Arabidopsis thaliana: one gene and its partners. The protein of the gene in region 3 interacts with the protein of the main gene of each other region in a pairwise test. Each region holds a gene or a part of one and is shown on either strand. Other genes may lie near its edges.

Region 1 (9,849 bases), on a different chromosome or scaffold from region 3:
AATAACTATTTTTGTATCTACCTTCCTAGAACAATCTAAAAAGATTTGAATTCCCCAATCTAATAGTCTAATACTATTTTCCCTAGAAAAAAAAAATAAAAAAAAAAAATACTATTTTCCCACCAAACCCATGAGAGCATGTTTGCTTTGCTACCGCAACTTCCATCTTGGTCGTAGGTGAAAAACGTGGTTTAGTTCTATCCCAAGGTGAAAAGAGATCCAAAACGACAAAGTTCTTTGTCGTTTCCCAATCTCTCTTTACCTATCAAGTCCCAGTTGGCGTTTGTCTTCTGCTCTTTAGTATGAGAGGAGCCACCAACATCCAAACTATAAACACATTTCATCAAAAAAACATTACAAAACTGTTTCACAGTCTCGAAATTTTAAGGATGAAGCATTCAAAAATGTTGTCATGACTTACTGTATACGCAAACCGCAAGCCACTCGTTCACAACCCTTACCCAAGTACTTGTCCATCCCACGTCAATCGTCCACCTGAACGCAAAATAACAAAGAAAAATTGTATGAGTTAAAAATCTCAAGCTTCAAAATGAGACTACAAAAGTCTCACAAAAGCTAGCTCACAAAAGATTGTTGAAAAAAATATTACTTTTTCATGGGATGATGAGTGTTCCAACCGATGAGTAGCATAGCGAAGTACATTGCTCCTGTGGCAAACACAAAATGAAAGAATCCATAGCCATATGGAACATCATCTTCAGCTTCTTCTTCTTGATCGTTCTCATCTTTCTTAAATTGGAAACATTGGGAGTCTATTCCTGTCGAAAATGTCGCGATAACCATCGCAAGTAGCGCAACCACAAAGCTCTGCACAATGTTATTCAAAATCAGCATATTACTTTTGCATAAAACAGAAGCAAAGGAATGTTGAGAGGTTAAGAGAGTTTACAATGATGGTAAGCCAGTCTGTTCTGTTTGAAGCTGCTGCTTTTCTATTACAACTTTCGCCCACTGGTTCACTGCACCAAATATTATTGGAGATGAATCAATTTACAATTATAAGTCTTCATCATAAAAGAAAACATTATAGCTCCACATTCACTACTAAGTTCAAGCTTCTTATGAGCATATATATATAAATCTTAGGAGATGCAGAAAATAACAAATACATTTAGGATGTTCATAAATATAATGAGATGTATCAGAATTTCCTTAGAAATTATATCAAACTTTTTTGGGAATTTTTTTATACTTTTTCAAAAGCTGAAACAATGAGATTTACTATAAGCCAAAGATAAATCTCTACAAAAACACTAGAAAATAACTAGATTATGTTAATAGGAACCTAAATATTTCAATTCGGTTCCTAATTTCCTAGGATCCTTAAACCAAGAAACCCGACCCAAAACCGACTTGGAACACATAATTCTAGAACCCTAAAAAAGAAACCCATAGACCAGTCATCACTCTTCCCCTTCGCTTGGAGCTTTCTCGCTAACGGAAGCTTAACTCTCCGTTGCTGCTGGTTTTTGAGGAGATGGAGGAATTGGGTTTGAGGTTGGTAGCTGTGTCTGCGTTTCCTTGAACCTGAAAATGTCGTTAACGACACAGAAGCCATTGTCTTGTTGAACCAGAAGAAACGTTTGTGTAAACTTGTACCTCACGTTATCTTTCTTCCTAGTCAAGTAACCATTGACAAAGACAATAACACGACCGTTCCCCATAGGATATGGAATACCAAGTGAAGTCTCGATCTCAGCCGTGTAATCTTCGTATCTCATAGCCAGAAACTCATCTTTCACTTCTTTCTTTGTCCAGAAAGCTTTCTTGACATGGGTTGCAGGATCACGCCGGTTAAACAGACAGGGTTCATTGTAGAAGATATGAAGATAGTGAGGTTCTTCGTTAAGAATGTAATAGTATTGCTTCACAAAGGTCTTGCTAACAATCTCTGCAGTAGTGTTGTTCTCTGACATATCTCCAGGGACAGAGAGATTTGACGATGGAAGCTTTGAAAACAGAAGTGGAAGATAATGAATGGTTCTTGGCCTATCTTCTCCACCATATATATAGTGGCTAAAGACTCCCAAAACCAACTATATTTCCTAATCCTACTTGACTAGTTCTACTACTAACTCCTAATTCCTAAACCATACTAACTTTAGAGAAGTTACCTAAACCACAAAATAAATTTAAAAATCTCTGTAGAGAATAACTTCAAAAAAATAATCAAATCCCCAAGTCAAAACTTAGGAAAAAAGAGAAATAAATGAAACAATGTTTTATTTATTTGATTTTCAAACTTTTTAACCAAGTGAAATTTTTTAATTTGAACAACTAACCGGCTCGGTCAACCAAACTATCAGTTTGTAGGTTAATTCTGTTTTTATCTGATTTAACCGGGTCAAATAATTTAGATTTTTAAGATCTAACCGGACCGGATTATCGGTTTTGAACTTTTTAAGACATTGAAAAAAAAAACAGAGATCAAGATTGAAAGGAAACATAAACATACCTTCGAATGGCACACCAGCATATAAACACAACATAGAGTCCCATAAGAGCTGGAGTCAAGTATCCAGCATTAACCTGTTGGTGTTGGCAAAAGCACAAACAAACCTTAATAACCTCAAACATCCAAAACACACATGACATGAAGTCATGAACATGAATAGTAATGGAAACAATAAAGACTTACTTTAGGATGGAGAGCGATGCTTGTCATGAGTTGGATGAGGAACAAAGTCCATGTTATAAAGAATATATTGAGAAGACATGAAGAATCAGGCGCGTACCAAATGTACATCAAAATCACTCCTACTATGCAAACTGTGTATGAAGTAGTTGATAGTAACATCACATAGACACGGCTACAAAACAGAATAGAGTATTGCTTACTTAGTATAAACTGAAATAAAAACTAAAAATATATTATGATTCGAATTTGAAAGAATCTAACCATCTTTCTGCATCTTTTTGGGACTGATAGCATTCGTTGAGCCATTGAATGAAACTGATCACACTAATTAGCTGTATTAAGAGAAATACCCTATAGAGAAAAAAACAACAATATAAGATTTGGGATTTTTCACATCATATATACATTGTGAAGTTGGACTAGTCAATCAAAGTCTTACCCTGCACCAAAATGGGCAATCTCTCCTGCAAAATCAAACCAAAGAAAAAAGACGTATGGTTAAAGCAGGCCACATGATTATTAGAGGAAGACTACTTTCATGGAAGACTAACCGTAAAGGTGAATAATGGAAGAAGGAAGCAAGAAGGGAATGATGGTTAAGGCAGGCCACATGATGAGCTTAACAAACCACCATCCAGAATGCCATCTATCTCTTGATGAATGCGTTTTCGACGTACCAAGTGTTGAAAGAAACATAACAAAGTAGAACAACTGAGGATATAACGGTTAAGCTCAAAACATTTTCTGATTTAGTGACTCAAAAAATCATATAAAGTTGTAATAACAACTGAATCAAGAAAGGATACAAAACATCCCAAGCTAACTCTTAAGACACCGTCGGTCCCCAAACAGTTTTCGCCACCTTTACAGTTCTTGAATCCTGCAATATGATCAAACTTATAAGACAACGAATTACTTAGTTATACTTAAAACATGATTCTAATGGCACATACTTGTCACTTTTCTTAAGGCACCCCGACCATAATCACGAGCAGCCCAAGCTAGTAGATTCGCAATGAGGAATATCAGACCGTATACATATCTAGCCATCCAGGGATTGCAGCCGTTGCGGAACTGATTAAACCATGATCCATTCTTGATTGCTTCATAGCTATCGTTTCTGATGCTTTGGTTGTTGTTGCTAACGCTTGTACCGGTCTCCATTACTCCTTAAAGTTACCAAGACTCTCTCCTCTTCATGTCATTAGAAGATCAAGAAATTCAAGAAACAGATCACTCATTCCATGGGAGGATTTTGCATCAGAAATCAGTTTCTTAGATGAAAGAATCGTCAATAACGAAAAACGCAAAACAGGAGCAACAAATTCCTGTCCCTGTCCCTGTCAGAGATTTCTCGTCCTTCAGATCAAAACCTGTGGAAATAAACAATGAGAATTCAAAAAATGAAAAACAGAGTCGGCAAGAACAGAACAAGAAGACAAAAGAATGAAGCAAAGGATAAGAATCTGATTCCGTTATCAAAACAAAGAGAAGAGCACATACAAATCAATTCAGAAACGGTGGAGATTACAATTGGTAGATTTTGAAGTGAACAAAATTCATGTTTTACATGAGAAACATCTTTAGTCTATTCTCAAAAAACCACACAGAATCCGTTTCTCAACAGAAAGCATCTCGTTTCGTTTCTGTTTCAGCCGAACATAAACAGAGAATACGTATAGTGCAAGTAACCTTTATCTTCTTTTTAACCTAAACTAAAAAAGCAAATCTTTATAAGTGTCAACGAGAATCCACAATAGATGGCTCATTTTAATCCAAGATTTGCAACTTTAAACCTTAACCATATGAATGATAAAGACTAAAAGACAAAAACATACCAAACTTAAAAAGCAAGACAGTCAAGATTCTTAAGAATTAAAACTCTCAAAGTCAAGATTTGGCAGGAACTACTCATAAATACTAATCCAAAAAAGCAAGAGCCTTTTTGTGTTGTAACTATAATTACCCTAATGATAATGGAGAGGCGTGGATAAACAAAGAAGCACCCAAAAAAACTTTATTTGACAAGGAAACAAAAGGTTAAGAGATCAAAAGAGAAAACGAACAAAAAAAGAGTCAGATCATATAAAGATAAAAGAGTTTATGCAATTTGTCACAAAATTTGGAATTGAAAAAGAAACGTGTTGGTACGGATACAATTGGGCAGACGAATCTTACGAATATGAATGGGTAATGTTAAGCAGCAACATTAGATGCGCTTTTCTAGGGTTTTATTGGTCCACTTAATAGAGTGGAGACACATACCTCCACTTAGACGAATTGAAGAGAGTGGGATAATGGAAAGACTATATTCACAAAAGATCTTATAAAGAAAACGTCATCTACAATATTGACATTAACATATACATTATAAATATTCAAATTTCTTTTATCTCTAAAGTATCTTCAATATTTTCTTATATTGAGTTTCATACTTTATTTACTTTCCATAATAGTCTAATCTTGAACTTCCAAGGCCCAAGAACAGAAAAAAAAAAAAAAAAAAAAAAAAAAAAAAAAAAAAAACTTGACCATAAACCCGTAGGCTAGAACATATCACATATGGCAAGTAAGGGCTATAGTTTTAGTCTTTAGAGGTTAGAAAATTATGGATTTCGTGGGTTAGAGTAACCAACCATCACAAACGGCGATGCAAACGGATCAGATCCGTGCGTATAATAGTAATTCAGCCGCATACATAATGTTTAAATTACATAAATTAATGTGAGTTTTTTAAATCTAGATTTTTATGATTTTTAATATTTAGTTGGTAAATAATTTTTATTTGTATTAAATATAATCCACTGAATTTATATTTTAATATGTATGAAACAAGGTTTAAAATGTTTTTTTTTGTCTTTCAGAAAAGAGTTAACAAGAGAAAATCAATAGCTCGCTTTAAAACCTTTCCATAAAATTTAGGGATATAGGAAGTAAAACTGTGTAGATCTAGTGATCATTCTCACGTTCCACGTTCGTATATATAGACTAATAATTATGATTTGGGAGTAATGAGTTCATGGCCTTGCCATTATGAATTACAAATATACAAATATGAAAAATAGAGAGAATAATGGTAAATTTGACCCTAAGATAGAGGTAGCATGTGAAGATGTGAAGTATTGGAATTTGTAGCCTAGGTAGTAGATCAGAATGTTTAGATTCTCAGAAATAAGAATTGGTCTATCGTATCATATCTCATAACGCTCTAAACTAAAGTAATGAGTATATAGTATTATTTAACACACTATAGGTAGGCCATGATGTATATGGACCTCTTCAAATCTTTCGTGCCAAAAAGACAACTCTTGATACCAAAAACTTACTTTGACGATTAAAATCGTTTTTATTTACCTAAATTGGATAACAAACCGGAAATAACCGACACCTAAACCAATCTTGCACAACTAGATGACTAGTAAACCATAATACCAAAGAGTCATGCATACATTGGTTGTTGTTGTTTTTTTAATTGTTTTCTAAATTGAGTGTGTTTTCATTGACTCCACACAATCAAATGGACAGCCAATAGACGTTGAAATTTTTGTATGTGTGTGTTCTCTTTTGACTCAGTGAAGAGAAAATTAGTTGAGTTTAGCCGCAGAAATTGAGTTAGATTGCAAAAGAAGGAAAAACAAACGTAAAGCGATACTAAATTGTTTAAATTACATATGTTTTAAAAGAAACAATACTAAATGACTAACGCAAAACCTTAGTTTCTTAACAACTTAACTTTGACAAAAAAAGGGTCAAAAACAAAACGTAAAACAATTGTAAATTATGTTTTTAAAGGAAACAACACTAAATTTTGACTAACTCAAAACGATAACTTCCTAGCGACTCTTTAAACTTTGACAAAAAGGTCAAAATCTGTCAATAGCTAAGCTCCTCATGTGTTTTTTCGTCATACACATTTATAACTAAACATGAATTATGAAATCAATAATTATGTTGATTTTTCACGGCTAATCTTGTTGGCAAAGTGAGATAATTAGCAGAAAGAAAAGAGGCTGAAAAAGAAAAAAGTGATGAACTAAGGGTCCCATGATGTTCCACAACTTTGGAAAATGTTAAAACTAAAATTTTGACAAGTGGCTCCGACCAATATTCCGGTGGTCTTCCCGGCGACGGGAAGAACAAGCAAAAATATTACATCACTAATTTTTCACCCGGAGCTAAGTTTCGTTTTCCCGAGATACATTCATAATTCATAACTAGCACACGCAACACGAACATGTTTTAAAATCTCAGAGATCGTAAAAAAAAGACAAGAACAAATAAGAGAAAAGAAAGAGAAAGAACCTGTGATTTTTCGTGTCTTGAATATATGAAGCGAGATTGGATCTAGAGATGTAGAGAATGTTGAGTGTTGTTACCTCCACAAGCTTCTTCTAAATGTGAAACCAAAGAAGAAGAAGAAGAAGATAAGAAGGACAAAAAAAAATCTGAGAGAAATGTGAAAACGAAAAAAGAATCGGTTTCAGGTTTTATGATCAGAGCTTTTGCTTTTAGAAAACAGTTGTTTATATACTTATATATACAAAATCTAGAGATAACATATAAAGCTTAGTTTTTTGTGAATATCTTTTTTTCTATGTAAGTTATATTTTATTTCTCCTGCTGTTAGCTTCCTATTTCCGCTACATCCCCTCGTATTATTCTTTAATAAGAAAAATAAAAAAATCTACAATTCTCTTTTTATAACCACAATATTTGATAATTTATCAAACAAAGTAATTCATAATTTTAAAATAATATAATATTTCTTATTTTGACTAGAAAAAAATACTAAATATAATCATGACAACTATATTGCCAATATACAAGAAAGAAATTAAGGAAAATATTATTACAAATACACACACCTCTGTTTTTATGGATAAACATGCCAATTAGACTTTAATAGTTATGGTATTAAATTTTTTACTAGGCAATTAATTTACCACAAATCACTAATTTTAGTGCTGACTTTAAATTTGTACTTAATGATTATATTATAAGTGAACGTGCTTGTTCTTATGATCATTTATTGTCTTATATCTAGATGTATTTTTTCTTAATTATTACTCCCAATCTCCCACCGTTTATAAAAACAAATGACTATAGGATTTATAATCCACTAAGATCGAAACCCACGCTATGATGTGGATATTTGTTTTACAAAATTTACAGATATCAGAAAGAACATATATTTAAATTGCAGTTATAAATCTCAAAGAAATGAAAATATTACCTGTCGATTCAAACATTTTAACCTTAGAAGCATAACAATCTAAAAATCAAGTATATGTTTCCTACTCTAAAATCAAAAATACAAAAGAGTGAGTGAGTAACCGTCTCAAACGTCAAAAACAAATTGTGCCTTGCATAAATGAGAAGTTCAAAACAATAGAATAGAATTAGTGACGCTTTGTAATCAAACGCTCATTACATTAATCAAGTAAGACAAACAACAATAACTACAAAAGCCAATGGTGCATATGAGTTTGTTTCCTTCGTTGGGTCAAACAGTTGTATGTATACACAATGAAACCATCTTTTGCTTTTTGGTTATAATCATCACAACCCATTTGCTAATTTTTTCCTCAAATCTTTCCTCAAACATTTTCAAATATGATGGAGCTTTAAGAATTGACAAATGAAAAACACTTTGTATGTAAAAAACCTCTGATCAACATAACTTTAAATCAATGACCATAACTACTAATCAAGTTTTATTTTTTGCATCATTCACCATAAGTTTACAAATTTATATTCATACACTAACTAAATAATATATTTCTTTAATATATACACAATTTTTTGCTCACTGAACAATACATGAACTATCATATTCTATTAAAAACAAAAACAAAAAACATTAACAAGAAAAACCAAATAGTATAGACATCCTCTCTAATACTCACAAATCCTAAAATTTTGACATTCGTAGCACAAAATTTTTATTGTTATGAACAAGCAACAAAAAAGTTTTAGATAACTCGATATTGCTCTCCTCTTTCACAATCATTCCTAATCATTTATACGGAATTGTAAATAGCAAACCCATAAATTAATGGTTTGGTAGAGAACCATTAGATTAGTTTTAGCAAAAAAATGATCTAAACATTGATGTGAAAAATGTTGATAACAATATTGGATTTACAAAAAAAATATTAGTTTGGTGATTATAACTTCTCACCATTTTGCCGCGTTAATTTGATTAGTATAAATAAAATAATTACATGAAAATTAGTATATTGATTAAAGGTACATACTTACATGATATATTATTTTCCACAAATAAGAAATACATATATATTATTTTGCATATTTATTAAATTTCAGTTATCACATAGAAACCAGAATAATCCATCGCAGTAGCTTCGAGGCACGATATATTTCTCATCTTTGTTTTCATTGCAAAGTTTTGTGCAAGCAGTCTCACATAATGGAAGAGTTGCCTTTTGAGAAACTTTCATGCATTGATTCGGGATACAGTGTTTAACACACACTTCCATCGTACTCGCGTATGTTGAAACAATCATCGTAAATAAAACTACAATCATCAAAACACTGTATATCTTTTTTGTTGTTTGAGTTGCCATTATTTGAAAAGATGCGTTTCTGAGTGTTCAAACTTATTAAATTTTGCTTAGGTTATATAGCAATACAAAATTGTAAAGGATGAATATTGTTGAGTTGGGTGTCTATAGTTATTTACTTTATATAGCAAAAAATAGTTTTGACCTCTTGAAATTATTTATTTTGGAAGTATATCCGTTTGTTTTTTTGGTTGATAGGTTAGTTTTTTTGTTTATGTTATTGGTTGTCCAAACAATTTATCGTTCCAATTTTTTGTTGTCAAGAAACCTATAAATATATTATTCTCGTTCCAAATTTTTGTTATTTACAAATATATCTTTCTTGAGATTCGATAATTAGTTTCTAAAGAATCGATTATATTGTTAATGTTTCTGATTGACGGTTTGGTTCATAATTTTTTTTTTAAACCATACTTAATTTATTTTATTTTTCATGACTTCAGTTTTTTTTTACTATTATATGACTTCAGTTACTATTATATGATTTTTCAGCTGATGAAATTATAGGCCTTGATTAGTGAACAATAGCTAGAAGAGCAATAGAAATAAGAACAAAATGAACATGAAAGAAATGAATTATAAAAAATGAAAGAAACTAATTTAAAA
Region 2 (7,849 bases), on a different chromosome or scaffold from region 3:
CCATATAACGTACTAATGTAAACTACCAACAAGCCCTACAATATCTTCAAAAAACTACTTTGATTAGTGAATCCATTATGAGAAAACAAGATTAAGTTTACCTGTTGGCATGAAGCAAAGCAGCTGGACCAAGATAAGACTCAGGGTTCCACCAATAGCTAGGGCAAGACGTGCTACAACAAGCACAGAGAATACATTCATACATTCCATCAAGCTTAGCTCTATCTTTCTTACTCTGTAAAATCTCTTTCCCAGGAACAGATGCTGGATTCTTCCTCTTCAACCACGGCTCAATACTCTTATACTGATTATAAAAATTCGTCATATCCACAACCAAATCCTTAATCACAAACATATGCGGCAACGGCGTAATCGTCGTCTCTTTAGATCCAGATTCAATCTTCGTTAAACAAGCAAGACCATTACATCCATCAATGTTCATAGCACACGAACCACAAATACCTTCACGGCAAGAGCGACGGAAAGTGAGCGATGGATCCATCTCGTTCTTAATCTTAATCAAAGCATCTAGAACCATTGGACCACAATCCTTGAGATCGATTTTGTAATCTTGAAGCTCTGGCTTTCCAGGATTATCTGGATTCCATCGATAGATCTGAAACGTCTTCAGACTCGCTCCTCCGCCGCCGGTTGAAGCTTTCGATTGTGCTTCTGATCCTGTTGATGTCCATCGCGCCGGAATCAATCGCGCCGCCGTGGATAATCGTGATGATTTGGTTCCAACAACTCTTCCGATCAAACCAAACGCCATTTTCTCGGAGAAGAGAGCAAATGAAATGAAATTGTTTTTTTAATAGTCTATTAAAAATGATTAATTTGTTAATAACCTGTAATTATTAATTAATTATTATGTAAAAATGTATGTATACGTATTTGTAGATGTGAGGCTTAGCTTCGTCTACGTAATAACGACCGTTGATTAAAAAACTTGGAAAATCGTGACCGTTTATAAATACCGGCTTATAGGTTAATCACAGAGATTAATGGATAAGTTCTGAAATGCGCGTGTTCGCCTCGAGAAGTGTGTAGATCACGTGGCGAGTTTTGATACGATGAAGTTCACTCGAAAACAAAAGACGGTACGAGAAAAAGCGTTCCGTTTCGCTACAAAAGATTGGTGTTTTCTGTTTTCAAGTTTCAACAATAATTAAAACGTTAACCTATATTTAAACTTTCAGAAAACGCTAATCTGTTCTCAAATTCTAATTCTTTAAACGTAATCAAATTCTTTTAAGAAAACAAAAACTAAAAGAGAAGACAAACAAGTTTTCTTGTTGTTTGAAGAAAGATCATCTCATGTTCTGTTTGCATCTTTTACACAATCTTTGAATGGCATCGGTAAGATCTTTCTCATTTCTTTCTCATTTGTTTCACAAATTTGATACAAAAAATAGCATTTTCATGTGTGTTTTCGTTGGATTATAATAGAAATCAAACATTTTTGTGATTGGAAACTTTCAGAATAATCAACAACGACAACAACAAGATCGACCATTACCAAAATTTGGAGAATGGGACGTGAACGATCCAGCATCAGCCGAAGGATTTACGGTTATATTCGCTAAAGCTCGAGACGACAAAAAGACAAACGCAAGTGGTCGTGCCGCCTCACAACGCCGTGACAATAACAAATCTCAAGATGAACCTACGGTAACATTTCTAATCCCAATTGCTCAAGATTTTATGACTAACGAAAACATCAGCCTATGTTTGTTATGTTTTAGATCAAATGAGGTCTAAAGTGAAAGAAAAACTAAAAGCTTGCTATTTCTATTGCAGAAGAAACGGTTCTGCTGTTTCTGAGAAACAACACATCATCAAGCAAAAGCTGAATGTAAAACATTTGTTAGATAAATGAAACAGTTTCATATTCACTTGGAATCTGTATAAATTTATCATTACAGAGCTAAAAGCAGACGAAGTTTCGGTCTAATTCTGGTCGCATAACATTTACTTACACAATATCAATGTCTCTTAACCCTCTGTTTGGTGAATCTTGATCTGACCCATTGCTACTTGTCTTTTTCTTGAACGATTTTTGGCTGAAAATCCGAGACACCGTTTTCCCGGGACGTGGAACTGATCTCGAACCGCCTTCAAAACGGTTATGTTTATTGTCTAGATCATTTGATAGTTTCTTGACTAGTTCCACAAAATGTCTTCTGAATGTTGGATATCTTGATACTGATTTGGTTAATCCTTGAAGCCTAACCAAAACCAAAAACACATCTTAGAATCCGAAGTAGAAAGCCGTAACAAGATTGTGTGTGTTTTTTTTTTTGCCTTTTTTACCTGCGAGCAAAGGCATCAAGTTCGGCTTTTCTGAGTTCAGTTAGAGGAGGAGATTCAGATTCAACAATGGAGCTTTTAAGTCTCTCTGAATCTCCAAAGAGTAATACCAATTTACCAAGATACTCTTCTTCTTCCTCGGATAGGTTTGCAGCTTCGATCTGGTCTTTAAGGATCAAAAACGGATTCAGAAACCAATCAAAAAACGCATCTTTTGGGCGGTTTCTGGTAGTTATCTCCGTTACACCGTCACCTAAACAAAAACACAGAAACGGTTTTGTTTGTTTCTTGATGATGTTCAAATAGTTACTAGATAATGCGGTTATGAAAATTGACAGAAAACTGTTGAAACATACCGAGTAATAAACCGGTGGAGTTAGATTTGATAGAGCGTAAAAGCTCGTGAAGAAGAGAATAAGCAGGTAAGCCAAAGCTGATCACTTGACTGCCTTTGCTAGATTTAGCTTCTTCAATGTCTTTTGAATTTATAATCCCTTTCGTTACCATAATCTCTCCGTGCCGCCTACATTCCACAAATAGAGCCTCCAAAAGCTGCAAAGATCAAAAGAATAGGCTTCAGGTTTAAATACAAAGATAACCAAAAGAAGAGTGTGACTAGTGAGTACATCAAGCGGTTTCAGGTCAATCATTGGGCCTTTGTTTGATCCTCCTCTTGATGGAGTTGTCTTGAAGGAGTTCGGTCTTGAAAGACCACCAGAAAATGCCGTACTAGCGCCCTCTTCGTTTCTTCGATATATTGGCCTGTTACAAAACCATAAAACCACTGTTTTAGAATGAAAAGAAAGAGAGAGAGGTAAAGATTGCTAGATAAGCCAATGGAGACAAACCTGGGAAAGCAAGAACCTTCAGGCATATCAAGAACATCGTTGCTATACTCATCGTAAATAGAAACAGAAGCAACAACATAGCAGAGACCGAAGAAGAACGATGACTCCTGTGTTATGACAAGAGAAACCAATTCAGTATCATCAGCATTCACATTTTCCTCAAAAAAAAAAGTCATTGTTTAATAACCTGATATGAGACTACACCGCCATAAGCACCAAGGAAGACACTAGAGACCACGGATCCTAAAACTGCTCCAACAACAGCTAAAGGCCAGAGTAAGATCACAAGGCCAGCGATTGGGACACACATTGTTTCCAAGAAAGGACCTTCACGTCCAATGAGATCATGAAACAAACGGTGCCACCCTTTGAACAACATGTACGGGCTTTTACACAATGCTAAGAGTGAAATCACTGGGAAATCAACAAGAATTCCGAGAACCGCAACAATCACAGCACCTGGAATTTGAAGTAACCTGAGAAATATAAGTGAAAACTGTAAGAAAGCACTGTTAAGTAATCAATACACACAATTTACTGAAATTTTCTGAAGACCTTATTTCATAATAGTGACGGTTCGCAGTAGATGTTCGAAGATCATCCATAAAAGAAAAGTAGGAGTGAAAGCAAACATCTTTAAAATCACAAACAACGGTGAAACTGCCTTGAACAGTGCTCCAAGTTCCATCCTAAATTGTGAAAGCAGACAATGTAGGTGTTGAGGTCTAATCTTCAATAACATAAAGAACGAGACATGGAGAAAAAGAGACTTACATAAAAGCAATGGAAAAACGGATTAGACTTCCCTTCACCAACAGCATCGAAAGTAGCAAATATTGGAGAAAGAAATCCATAAATAGCTCCTCCAAGAACACTTCCTAAGATACTAACCACAAGCCAGAGAATGACACCAAGAGGAACGCATAAACACAGAAAGATCTTCAGGATTGGTCCTAACTGTTTAGCACTGATTTCAAACAAAAACACTTCAACAACATCGAAAGAGATAACAATGGTATTATTATAGAGGGCAGAGATTGTTTCAGAAAGAAGTAAGTACCTCGCTATCGAATATAGAGTCCAAATCGCGTGTACTGGTAAAAGGCCTAAGATGATTGCAGAGTTTCCAATAGCCACAGTAAGGCATATAAGCGGGCATAAAACGATACCTAAGCAAACAAAAAAGAAGTAAAGAAACGTTCACAACAATTCATTCCCACAAAACTTGTCAACAAGACTAGTAAAAGAACTCACGGATTTGGCCTTTGGGGCTTGCTTCAATTAAAAAAAGAGAACTTTATAGTACTGAAGAAACTAATTTCATACCAAATTCACTAACTTCGGAAGCACTTGATGAATGTTATGTACCAATTAATCACTCTTAGATAAATCCTAAGCCACTAAACTAGTGAGCAAGATCTCTAAAACAGAACAACGTTCACGGATTAGGTGTTTACTTCAATTAAAAAAAGGGAACTTTATGGCATTGAAGATCGCTAAATTGGTTAGAAATGCTAATTTCAGTAACTGTTGAAGCAAATTGATGAATAAATGAAACAACCCTAATGGAGGCCTACACAAATCAAGTAAGCCAATCTCATGTCAACATCATCGAACTCAAGTCTGAAATTTGTTACCTTTAATGACACCGAGAAGCAGTAAACCAGTGAAATAAGGAATGAAGAGTATAAATTGCCACAGAGAAGCCAAGATTCCCGTTGGAGGCTCCATTAGAACAATCTCTTTCTCTTTTGCTCTCTTCAAATTCAACAAAGACCCATCAGTCAAAATGTCGCATTTAGAACAACCCTAGAATCAAAATGAAACCCTTTGAAAAGAAAAGGTAAAGCAGAGATTTTTATGAGGAAGAGAGAAAGAGAGAGAGAAATTCAAACTGTGACGGACACGACAAGAAGCAGAACAAGTTTTCTTCTTTTTTTTTAATATTTAAAATTTCAATTTTGAACAGCAAACAACACGAAAGATTCGAGAGAGAGAGAGAGAAGAATATGTCACACACACATTAGATTTGACGGTTAAGAAACCGTCTATAAACCCTAAACCAAAAAATACATTTAAAACTGAATAAATTAAGAGTATATTTTTTAATTTACATATTATTTCAATTTCGTGTGCTGCTAAATAAATCGGGTGTGTTTCTTGGTGATCGGTTTTTGTGCTGCTGTTTAACGCATGGGCCAACACATCCTCCTCCTCGTATTGAGAAGAGAAGCACGAGATAAAGGAATTGGAGAAAACGACATGAACCGAACATTTTTAGTGTTTCTTTTTTTCTAACGTCGACACTAAGCGACAGTTAAAGAATCACATTATCATTATCTTATTGTTTATTACATTTAAGTATATATTAAAAGAGAGGTTTTTTTTTTATGTGGCAGTTGGCAAACCCATTATTTTCTACTTTATTTTCTAAAAGCTATTGCCACCTTTGCTAAACACATAATTTTCATTTTTAAAATGAACTTTATATGAAACATCACTATATATTAAATGGTATCATTGGAAAATATTACAATAAATCTGTTTATAAAATTTAATAGTATAAGATTTATAATTATTTATAAAAGTAAATATTATATACAAAAATAAATAATATAAGTGATAAGACTAATAATCTATGGCTCTATGCATTCTAACCTAATCGGAAGTAAAGAAGGGAAAAAGAAATATAAAAGCAATCAAAAGCGAAGACAGGTGCTCCCTCTTCTATGGTTTCTGAATTACTCCATTTGTTCTTTTTTGTTTGATTGTTTAGAAAAAACATACATATTAAAAAAATATATTAAATATTGATTATAAATATATTATTTTTAGTGTTTTACAGTTTTCTATACCTCTAAACCAATGATAATTAACTATTTTTCTTGAAAATTACAATTCACCAATACTAACCAATAAATATTACATGGAAAACTTAAAAAATCAATCTTTTAGAAACAATTTTTTTTTATAAACAATCAAACAAAAAAGAACAGATGGAGTATTATTTTTTCTTGAAACAAAAACATAATTTGAAATTGGATTAACTGGTAGACCATGGTTCAACTTGGTACGACTGGTCAAACAAAGTTTAGTATTTTTTATATATTTTTTAATTAAAATTGTTTAACCCCTCCAGCTCATCAAAAATCACTTTGTTTGAAATCATACATGAGGAGTGTGATGGACCTATAATAATACAAGTGTATAAATGATTTGTTAATTTTACTTATAATCAATTAGTTTTAAGTAGAAGCATATAAAACTTAACATGGTATCATGAATGTTGTTATAAAATTATTTGTCTTATAAGTCCAACATATAAAACTCGATTGACTTGAAGGTTTTTGTATAAGATTTTTTTTTTTTTGAATAATATAATATAATTTGATTTTTTGAAGGTTATAGGATAAGATTATTTGTCTTATAATCTAATTAAAATATATATAATAAGAAAAACGATTATTAACAATTGTTTATTTTAAATGTAATAAACAACATATGAGACACGCTTTTAAAATGGGAATAAATATATTATTAAAGTCATTAAAAAGGAAAAATACATATGAAGAATTTGAAATTGAGAAATGAAAATTAATTAAATAAAAACAAAAGAACTGAAAAAATTTACATATATAATATCATAGTTTTCAACTTTTAACTTTTGTTTCTTGTTGAAATCAACTTGTCATAAATTACATAGACAAGCAGAAATGATATAGTTTACGAAAAAAAAAATTATAAAGACAAAGTAAACTTAACTCTCAAATATAAAAGTCCGACCAAATTGATGGAGAAAGCCGGCCAAAGTCTTCAAATTTCGACGGCATCACGATCAACTCATGATTCTCCAAGATACGAAGCCCATATGAAATGTGTCTAAGTTATAATAAAATTTCAGACTCTTTTGGACGGCCTAGTGTACTTTAGACATTGGCCCAATCAGTACGGAACAAAAACTTGAAGACAACAAACTTCAAATCAAACTTATATATAATTTGTTGAAACATTACCATGAACTGGTAGCGAGAGAAGATTGGGCCTATGTCTAAACTTATAATTTGTTGAAACTTCAAACTACTACGCCGACTAGTCACTATCTAATAGAAACATTACCATGAACTGGTATAGCGAGAAAAGAGCAAGATCACATGAGCAAATTTTTTGGAAATTGTCCGAGAATCAACCTTGTGTTCCAAACGATATTTAATAGAATACATTCAAAGTTATTTGTGCAATGAGAAATAGCTTATGTTGTGTACTCTTTATTTCCTATGCCATTGTTAAATTACTTAACGTGAGACCTCAGCTTATTTAATCAACTTTGTTTTAGTGTTAAGTGGTTGACATCGGACGTTAGTGTTCTATGTTTCATATTTGGAATTACTTTTGAGTATTTTTAGAGATTTTAATCTAATATCAACCATTCCAAGCAAATTTGATTTTTCGTGTGTTGACAAATAAAGAACCCACTAACTACTTGATAAGTTTTGATAACTTTATTTATATCTCTTTTACTTTTAATTTTTCCGCAGTTACAATTAAATTATAATAGACTAAACGATGCTATATGCTCACGACGACTTAAACAACTAAACAAGTACCAAATAATCTCTTTTACATATAAGCAGATTTTATTCTTTTACATACAATAGTTAGTCATGCATAACGTGCTTGCATTAGTAACTCTT
Region 3 (6,759 bases):
ATCGGCTACGCGTGCTTTCAGGTAAAATATAGGCCTGGATCCATTTCAAAATTCATTATTCTATTCAGTAGTTGGGAGTTGATACTCATATAGTACAAAATTTGATGATATCAAGCAGAGGATGATGAGATCATCAGTTATTGATCAAAGAATGTTGTAGTTTTGGGTTATCTTGACTAAAACCCGCATACGGGTTTCTGCTTTTCTTTACAGATCGTTTTCGTGGTTGAGAGCGTAAGCGCAATGCTAAACCATGACAGGGCGCTGAAGAGATCAAACTCAAACCATCGAGAAGTCAAGAGCTAAGCCATTGAAGGTCATTGCGCCACTTTTCTGTTACACGTAAAGAAAAGAGTTGGGTCTTTAGCTTAAAGTTGGCAACATGTGATTTGTGTGAGTAGCTTTTCTTTGTTTGAGAACATCATATAAATAACAAATCTCCTGTGCCTTTCCGTTTAGAGTAACCATTAATTTGTACTTTTTACCGAGAGGTTTTAAAGTTCTTGTTTTGATCCGCAAAGCACACAATCATCCCTATATTTGAAGTTACATCGCATGTATACAAGGTATTATCATTTGTGAATGGTGGATGATTAAAGGCATTGTCTATGTCCCGTACTTTATCCTTATCCACTGCACCATTAAGGCCTAAATGACACAGTGCAGGAAGGTTATTGGGTGGTGTTTGGTCATTGTTTTCTTAAAAGTCACCCATTCACAATAAATGAAGTGTGATGCATTATTAATTTATTTGTAATATCATAAAAACTTGTAAAACCCACGTGGTACCAAAAACAAAAATCAGACCCTAACCGTATAACTGTATTTCACACTGTTGAAAATATATGTTCAATTCGATCTTGTGACATCTGAAATCTCCTAAAAATTATGCATATATTGCATGAAGCTGATGTATGCATGATTGCATATCTTGGTATTATATATTGTATTGATGGCGTGTGGTGATGGAATTTCATGGCGTTTGGTGATGGAATGCGGTTGTGTATCGGAGCTGACTTCAGCAAAGTTCAAACTTCAAACTGCAGTTTTCCTTCATAGCTCAGTCACAAAATACAGTTTGAAACTACTCCTTTTTCATCTGTTAAGTTAAGACAACTAATGGTTCTTGATTTTGTAATTTTGTTTCTTGGATTTCATCAGATGGGAAGAAACTAGTGGAGGAAATATACTTCGAACTCCTGGATTGCAATTTCCAAATGGCTATCATGTTAAACTCAAGAAGAAAGAGATCTAGAGAAAGAAGAATTTGAAGCAAAGGAAGAATAATAATCTACAAGACCTAAGATGGATACTATAAAGTGTGTACTATAACCAAATTAAAGGAATTTATTTCCAATTACAGCTTATGTTTTACATTAATAAAATTGTTTACTATTTATGTACTTAAAGACAGTTTGAGAAATATGGTGTTCAAATGTAAAAATAATACACTCTTTTATTTCTATCCCCTTTTACACAAGACGAATTTGGTAATGTACACATATATAAATAATCAAAGGCTAGAGAGATCAAAGAGATTAAATGTTAACAAGAACACATATAAAAGCTTTTACTATATGATTATGATGATGATGATGATGATTAGCAGGTCCATTTAGAAGTTGGGAAACAGCTAAGGTAATGACACCATTTGCAATGTTTGTTCCCATTCTCTCCTTTGAAAAGCATCACTAATGCAACCGTTAGCCCAACCACAAGTAGCACCACTGAAACTACAAACAGCACGTACTGGTACATGCTATACTTTCGTTTGGTTCGCGAAGTGTTGGTGCGGGAAGCTTCCCAACCGTACTGAGGTCGGACAAGGAGGACAAACCCGAGGCAGAATCCGGTTAAAAACCCTCCAATGTGTGCAAAGTTGTCAACCCGAGGAAGCATGCCTAATGCTAAGTTGATTGCGATGATGAACAGAAGTGTGATCAGAGCAGCCGCCTGCCAAAAGAAGCCGTTAATCCTAAGTTCCGGTTAAGGCGCGTATAGCGAAAAGGGCATAAGTACCTTGTTGGCATAGATAGTCCAATTGGTAAGAAGTTCAGATAACATTGCTCCAAGAAGTCCAAAGAGAGCACCCGAAGCACCAACAGAGATACTTTCTTGAAGGAAAAGCGACGAAAGTATGCTTCCACCGAGACCCGATATTAAGTATATCAACCCGACTCTTACTGCACAGTAACATTCCCGCGATAAAGATCAAATGTTTCACTTGGCGATTAAACAAAGAGAGTCTAAAACTTGACTGAACAATAATTCTTGTACACGTAAAGGTAAGACTTACTGAAGCCAAATTGCTGCTCAAGGCGGATACCAATGAAGATCAAACTCAACATGTTTGTAAGAAGATGAATGATACCAGCGTGAAGCCACATACAAGAGAGAAGTCTCCATCCTTGATGTTCATGTACTACTTTCCTCCATTCCAATGCTCCCATTTTCTCCAATCTGATACAAGTACATATCCGAGTAAAACCAAATCAATCACAAACACCATCACTACAATAATTGCCAATGAAATTTACAAATCATAATTCCAAACCAAGCTAAATACATAATTCCAGGAGAAAAATAAAAACTTTGAGAAACCCTACAAGTTTGAGCTCATGTTCCAAGCCACTAACAGACAATAAAGATCAAATTCAATTGCCAAGTTGAAAACACAAAAATTGAGACTTTTTCAGTTTGTTGAAAACAAAAAAAATTGAGACGTTTTAGGTACCCAAAAGATCAAACTTGTTTGCCAGTAACTTAGATTAACAAATTCTAGAATCTCGAGCTTCAACTACAAATTCATTGACGTTATCAGTAAGGCACTAATTGGGTAATCTTAATTACTGCAGAAAAATGAAAACTTTGAGCTCAATTTCCATAAGAACAGACAATAGTGATCAAATTCAATTGCGAATTGGACTCCCAAAAAGTTTGAGACTTTGGAGATACCCAGAAGATGAAACATGAATCTCCAACTTTAAAGTAATACTTACGTTGAAGAAGAAGGACCAAAGAGAGGATTCTCTTTAAGTGGTTGAAACGAGAATCTTCCGAGGAATCTAGCAACACACTCTTTGTTAGGTCCGGTGATTTTCTTAGGACAATCATTAACGAACATAACAGCGATAAAGACAGCGAGATTTGCCACTACAATCGCCGGAATCAGCCATGAAGTCCAATGAGTTTCACCAGAAGACTCCTCGTAGAAATAATTGTTATTAGCTCCTCTGTTTTTCTTCCCTACTCTCTCCACATCTCTGTTCGCCATTACTCTGTTTCTCTCTCTCTCTCTCTCTGTCTATGTGGTTGTTATATAAAATCGAAACTTGGATTAAACGGATCAAATACGAAATTCAGGAGAAGTAGCTTACAAGAAATAAAGGATTAGAAGAAAGAAGAGATTGAGACAGAGTATCAGTAATCAGAGAGAGATTTAGGGTAAAAACTACAAAGTTGTAACCATTAAAATAAAATAAAAACGCTTTTTCACGAATTTAAACCGTTGAATTGATGTTGAAAAGTTAGTGCATCTAATTATTTATGGAATTCTATTAATTATGTTCTTAATCTTTATCGATGTGTGTAGAATAACAAAAAGTAAAGAAGAGTTTTTGGTGTTGTGTCAATGGCGAGTTAGGCGGTGGTGCCAGCTCCTCCTCTCCTAGGTTTTAGTACAAGTTTCTTTTCTGAGTGCAAAAAACAACTCAGACCTGCGACAAGATTACAAAATATATAACTTGAAAACAACAAAAAAACAAGGTATTTTGTTAAAGTAAAAAGAGAAGATAAAACATATACTCCTTTTATTTTTTCTTAATTGAATTTTTTACAAAAAGGGTTTTATTTTTTTATTTTTTTTTATACAAAAAAGTGTTTTTAAAAGATGGATTTCTAGATTTTTTTGCAATATTAATTAGATATTATTGATGAATATCAAATTTCAAGATAAATAATTAAATATTATTGATTTTTAATTATAAAAAAATATAAAACACAAAAAATAATATATTCATAATTAATTTTAATAATATTTTCTTAAGATATGTATTTTTTTAGAAAATTAATTATTAAAAAAGAGAGAAAATATAAGCTAGTACTATTTGTAGTACGTGTTATTTTGTTTTAATTATAGCATGGTATTTATAAGTTAAACTTTTTTTTCTCTAGCATGAAGACTTTTTTTTTCTGACGAAAAACTATATATAGCAAAAGGTTCTACGGTCTCGATATTTAACTATTTATAAGATTTAATAAGTTGCCAAGGGCTTCTTTAGAATAGTCGACTTTTACATTGTGGAACAAACTATTGAATCCAACAAAGACTAACTCTATAATCTCACTAACAATCGCTTGGATATTATTGTCGATCTCCAAGGAATTTATCATCAGGCCTTAAATGGACTTCGTTGCAGCATATTTCAATGGTGTATAAATTTTTGTAGCCTTGTAGGTATTGGTAGAGTTCGAGAACTTTGAGGATTGAAGGGAAGATATTATATGATCCACCCGAAATTTTTTCGTAAAAGGTTTAATATTCCTTGACGTTTGAAACCATATCAATGAAATTAATAAATAAAATATTAGAATAAACTTCAAAGATGGTTATAATTAACCATAATTTATCACTAAGGAGTATATGAAAGCCATGTGTCCAAACCAAACTCGTGTTTAATGTTCTAAACCAATTGTATGTACTTTCACATTCATTTATCAATAAGACTTTTGCAGAGGTATGAATACTTGTCCAAGTCCGTATAATGGGAGAAATGTTTGGGAGGTGATACAAATAGATGTGTATATTTTGCAAAATGAATGCATACTTTGGTTTTGTTGACATATGATTAGAAAAAATGATAATGACCAAACTTGTATTGTATCATTGTATCATATACAAGTGGAACCAAACAGATATAGATCTTTACAATCCAAGATATAAATTGGTAAGGTCCACGCGGTTTCACCTTAATTAGAAAGGGACATCTCAGCAATAAAAAAAAAAATGAAGGAAATATAGTTAGACAAATATGGAACCAAAATAGCAAAACTTGATAATCTTCTTTGTTTTTTTCATATTTATTTGCTAATGCTGGCCTTTCAATTTAGAACTAAACCAAAAAAAAATACATTATGTGATTATAAACCAAACCGGTGATAAAAATGATAAGATGAAATCTTGACCGGTCAAATGATCCAACGGTGGTGCGAAACTGGATGAATATCACTCTCACTCTCTCAGCCTATGTGAGTCTCTCTCTCTGTTTGGTTTGGTAGAACCAAAAGTTCAAACCTTTACTCTCTCTGTCTGCAAAAGGTTCATCATTTAGGGTTTATACAAGTTTACAGAGAGTTTACGATTCTGAATCAGTGATTTTGGAAGAAACCCCAATCAGCTGAAGATGAGGAGATTGTTTGCGATTTCATCGACGGGAAACAGATTTGTTCATCGGAGTCTTCTCGGAAAAGGTAAATGTGGAACTGCTCCTCCTTCCTTTAGCCATTGCAGTTTCTGGGTACGAGATTTCTCTGGTGTTAGATATGATTACAGAAAAATATCGATAAATAGGCTAAATGATTTGAAGCTAGATGATGCGGTTAATCTGTTCGGTGACATGGTCAAGTCTCGTCCTTTCCCTTCGATTGTTGAGTTCAGTAAACTGTTGAGTGCCATTGCTAAGATGAACAAGTTCGATCTTGTCATCTCTCTCGGCGAGCAGATGCAAAATTTGGGAATTTCACATAATCTTTACACATACAGTATTCTCATCAACTGTTTCTGCCGACGCTCTCAGCTCTCTCTTGCTTTAGCTGTTCTTGCCAAGATGATGAAACTCGGCTATGAGCCCGATATTGTCACGCTTAACTCTCTGCTCAATGGTTTCTGTCACGGGAATAGGATTTCAGATGCCGTATCTCTTGTTGGTCAGATGGTGGAAATGGGATATCAGCCCGATTCATTCACATTCAACACTCTAATTCATGGACTTTTTCGCCACAACAGAGCTTCAGAAGCAGTGGCTTTAGTTGACCGGATGGTTGTGAAAGGTTGTCAACCAGATCTGGTTACTTATGGTATTGTAGTAAATGGATTATGTAAGAGAGGTGATATTGATTTGGCTTTGAGTTTGTTAAAGAAGATGGAACAAGGGAAAATAGAGCCTGGTGTTGTGATCTACAACACTATCATTGATGCTCTTTGCAACTACAAAAACGTGAATGATGCACTCAATCTGTTCACTGAAATGGATAACAAAGGAATTAGACCAAATGTTGTTACCTACAACTCCCTCATAAGATGCCTTTGTAATTACGGAAGATGGAGTGATGCTTCTCGACTACTCAGTGATATGATTGAGAGGAAAATCAATCCAAATGTAGTCACTTTCAGCGCATTGATTGATGCATTTGTGAAGGAGGGGAAGCTTGTAGAGGCTGAGAAATTGTACGACGAGATGATCAAAAGGTCTATAGATCCTGATATTTTCACTTATAGTTCACTGATCAATGGGTTTTGTATGCACGATCGTTTAGACGAGGCCAAGCACATGTTTGAGTTGATGATTAGCAAGGACTGTTTCCCAAACGTAGTGACTTACAATACTCTTATAAAGGGATTTTGTAAGGCTAAGAGAGTAGACGAAGGTATGGAACTCTTCCGCGAGATGTCTCAAAGAGGATTGGTTGGCAACACAGTCACTTACACCACTCTTATCCATGGATTTTTTCAAGCTAGAGAGTGTGATAATGCCCAAATAG

What was found. Proteins that work in one complex are often made in the same cells at the same time.
Region 1: the proteins of RBL2 (region 3) and AT3G24460 interact in a protein complementation assay, tested with the Arabidopsis thaliana proteins (one large-scale study listed by BioGRID).
Region 2: the proteins of RBL2 (region 3) and AT5G40640 interact in a protein complementation assay, tested with the Arabidopsis thaliana proteins (one large-scale study listed by BioGRID).

What each region holds. Positions count from the first base shown.
Region 1 is NC_003074.8:8,885,895-8,895,743, forward strand, and holds the start of AT3G24460 (Serinc-domain containing serine and sphingolipid biosynthesis protein), read right to left. Parts: upstream 7,310-9,849; 5' UTR 6,962-7,309; intron 5,034-6,961; exon of another isoform or gene 4,163-5,033; intron 4,033-4,162; 5' UTR 3,824-4,032; coding exon 3,613-3,823; intron 3,540-3,612; coding exon 3,466-3,539; intron 3,371-3,465; coding exon 3,211-3,370; intron 3,124-3,210; coding exon 3,099-3,123; intron 3,011-3,098; coding exon 2,921-3,010; intron 2,832-2,920; coding exon 2,660-2,831; intron 2,551-2,659; coding exon 2,477-2,550; intron 2,471-2,476; exon of another isoform or gene 1,938-2,470; coding exon of another isoform or gene 1,621-1,937; intron 1,549-1,620; coding exon of another isoform or gene 1,467-1,548; exon of another isoform or gene 1,112-1,466; intron 981-1,111; coding exon 911-980; intron 829-910; coding exon 611-828; intron 496-610; coding exon 422-495; intron 328-421; coding exon 266-327; 3' UTR 1-265. Other genes in the region: AT3G24463 (nuclear transport factor 2 family protein), read right to left, coding at 1,467-1,548, 1,621-1,937; AT3G24465 (Plant thionin family protein), read right to left, coding at 8,983-9,246.
Region 2 is NC_003076.8:16,274,385-16,282,233, reverse strand, and holds AT5G40640 (uncharacterized protein), read right to left. Parts: upstream 5,193-7,849; 5' UTR 4,890-5,192; coding exon 4,796-4,889; intron 4,328-4,795; coding exon 4,219-4,327; intron 4,126-4,218; coding exon 3,933-4,125; intron 3,848-3,932; coding exon 3,714-3,847; intron 3,635-3,713; coding exon 3,346-3,634; intron 3,266-3,345; coding exon 3,159-3,265; intron 3,073-3,158; coding exon 2,937-3,072; intron 2,863-2,936; coding exon 2,667-2,862; intron 2,564-2,666; coding exon 2,314-2,563; intron 2,229-2,313; coding exon 1,976-2,228; 3' UTR 1,825-1,975; downstream 1-1,824. Other genes in the region: SDH2-2 (succinate dehydrogenase 2-2), read right to left, coding at 102-772; AT5G40645 (RPM1-interacting protein 4 (RIN4) family protein), read left to right, coding at 1,351-1,359, 1,483-1,671, 1,801-1,824.
Region 3 is NC_003070.9:23,407,452-23,414,210, forward strand, and holds RBL2 (RHOMBOID-like 2), read right to left. Parts: upstream 3,689-6,759; 5' UTR 3,275-3,688; coding exon 3,000-3,274; intron 2,461-2,999; coding exon 2,297-2,460; intron 2,184-2,296; coding exon 2,020-2,183; intron 1,954-2,019; coding exon 1,603-1,953; 3' UTR 1,353-1,602; downstream 1-1,352. Other genes in the region: AT1G63110 (GPI transamidase subunit PIG-U), read left to right, coding at 1-21, 214-306; AT1G63130 (Tetratricopeptide repeat (TPR)-like superfamily protein), read left to right, coding at 5,403-6,759. UniProt on the Arabidopsis thaliana protein: Rhomboid-type serine protease that catalyzes intramembrane proteolysis. Can cleave the Drosophila proteins Spitz and Keren. May function in pollen elongation.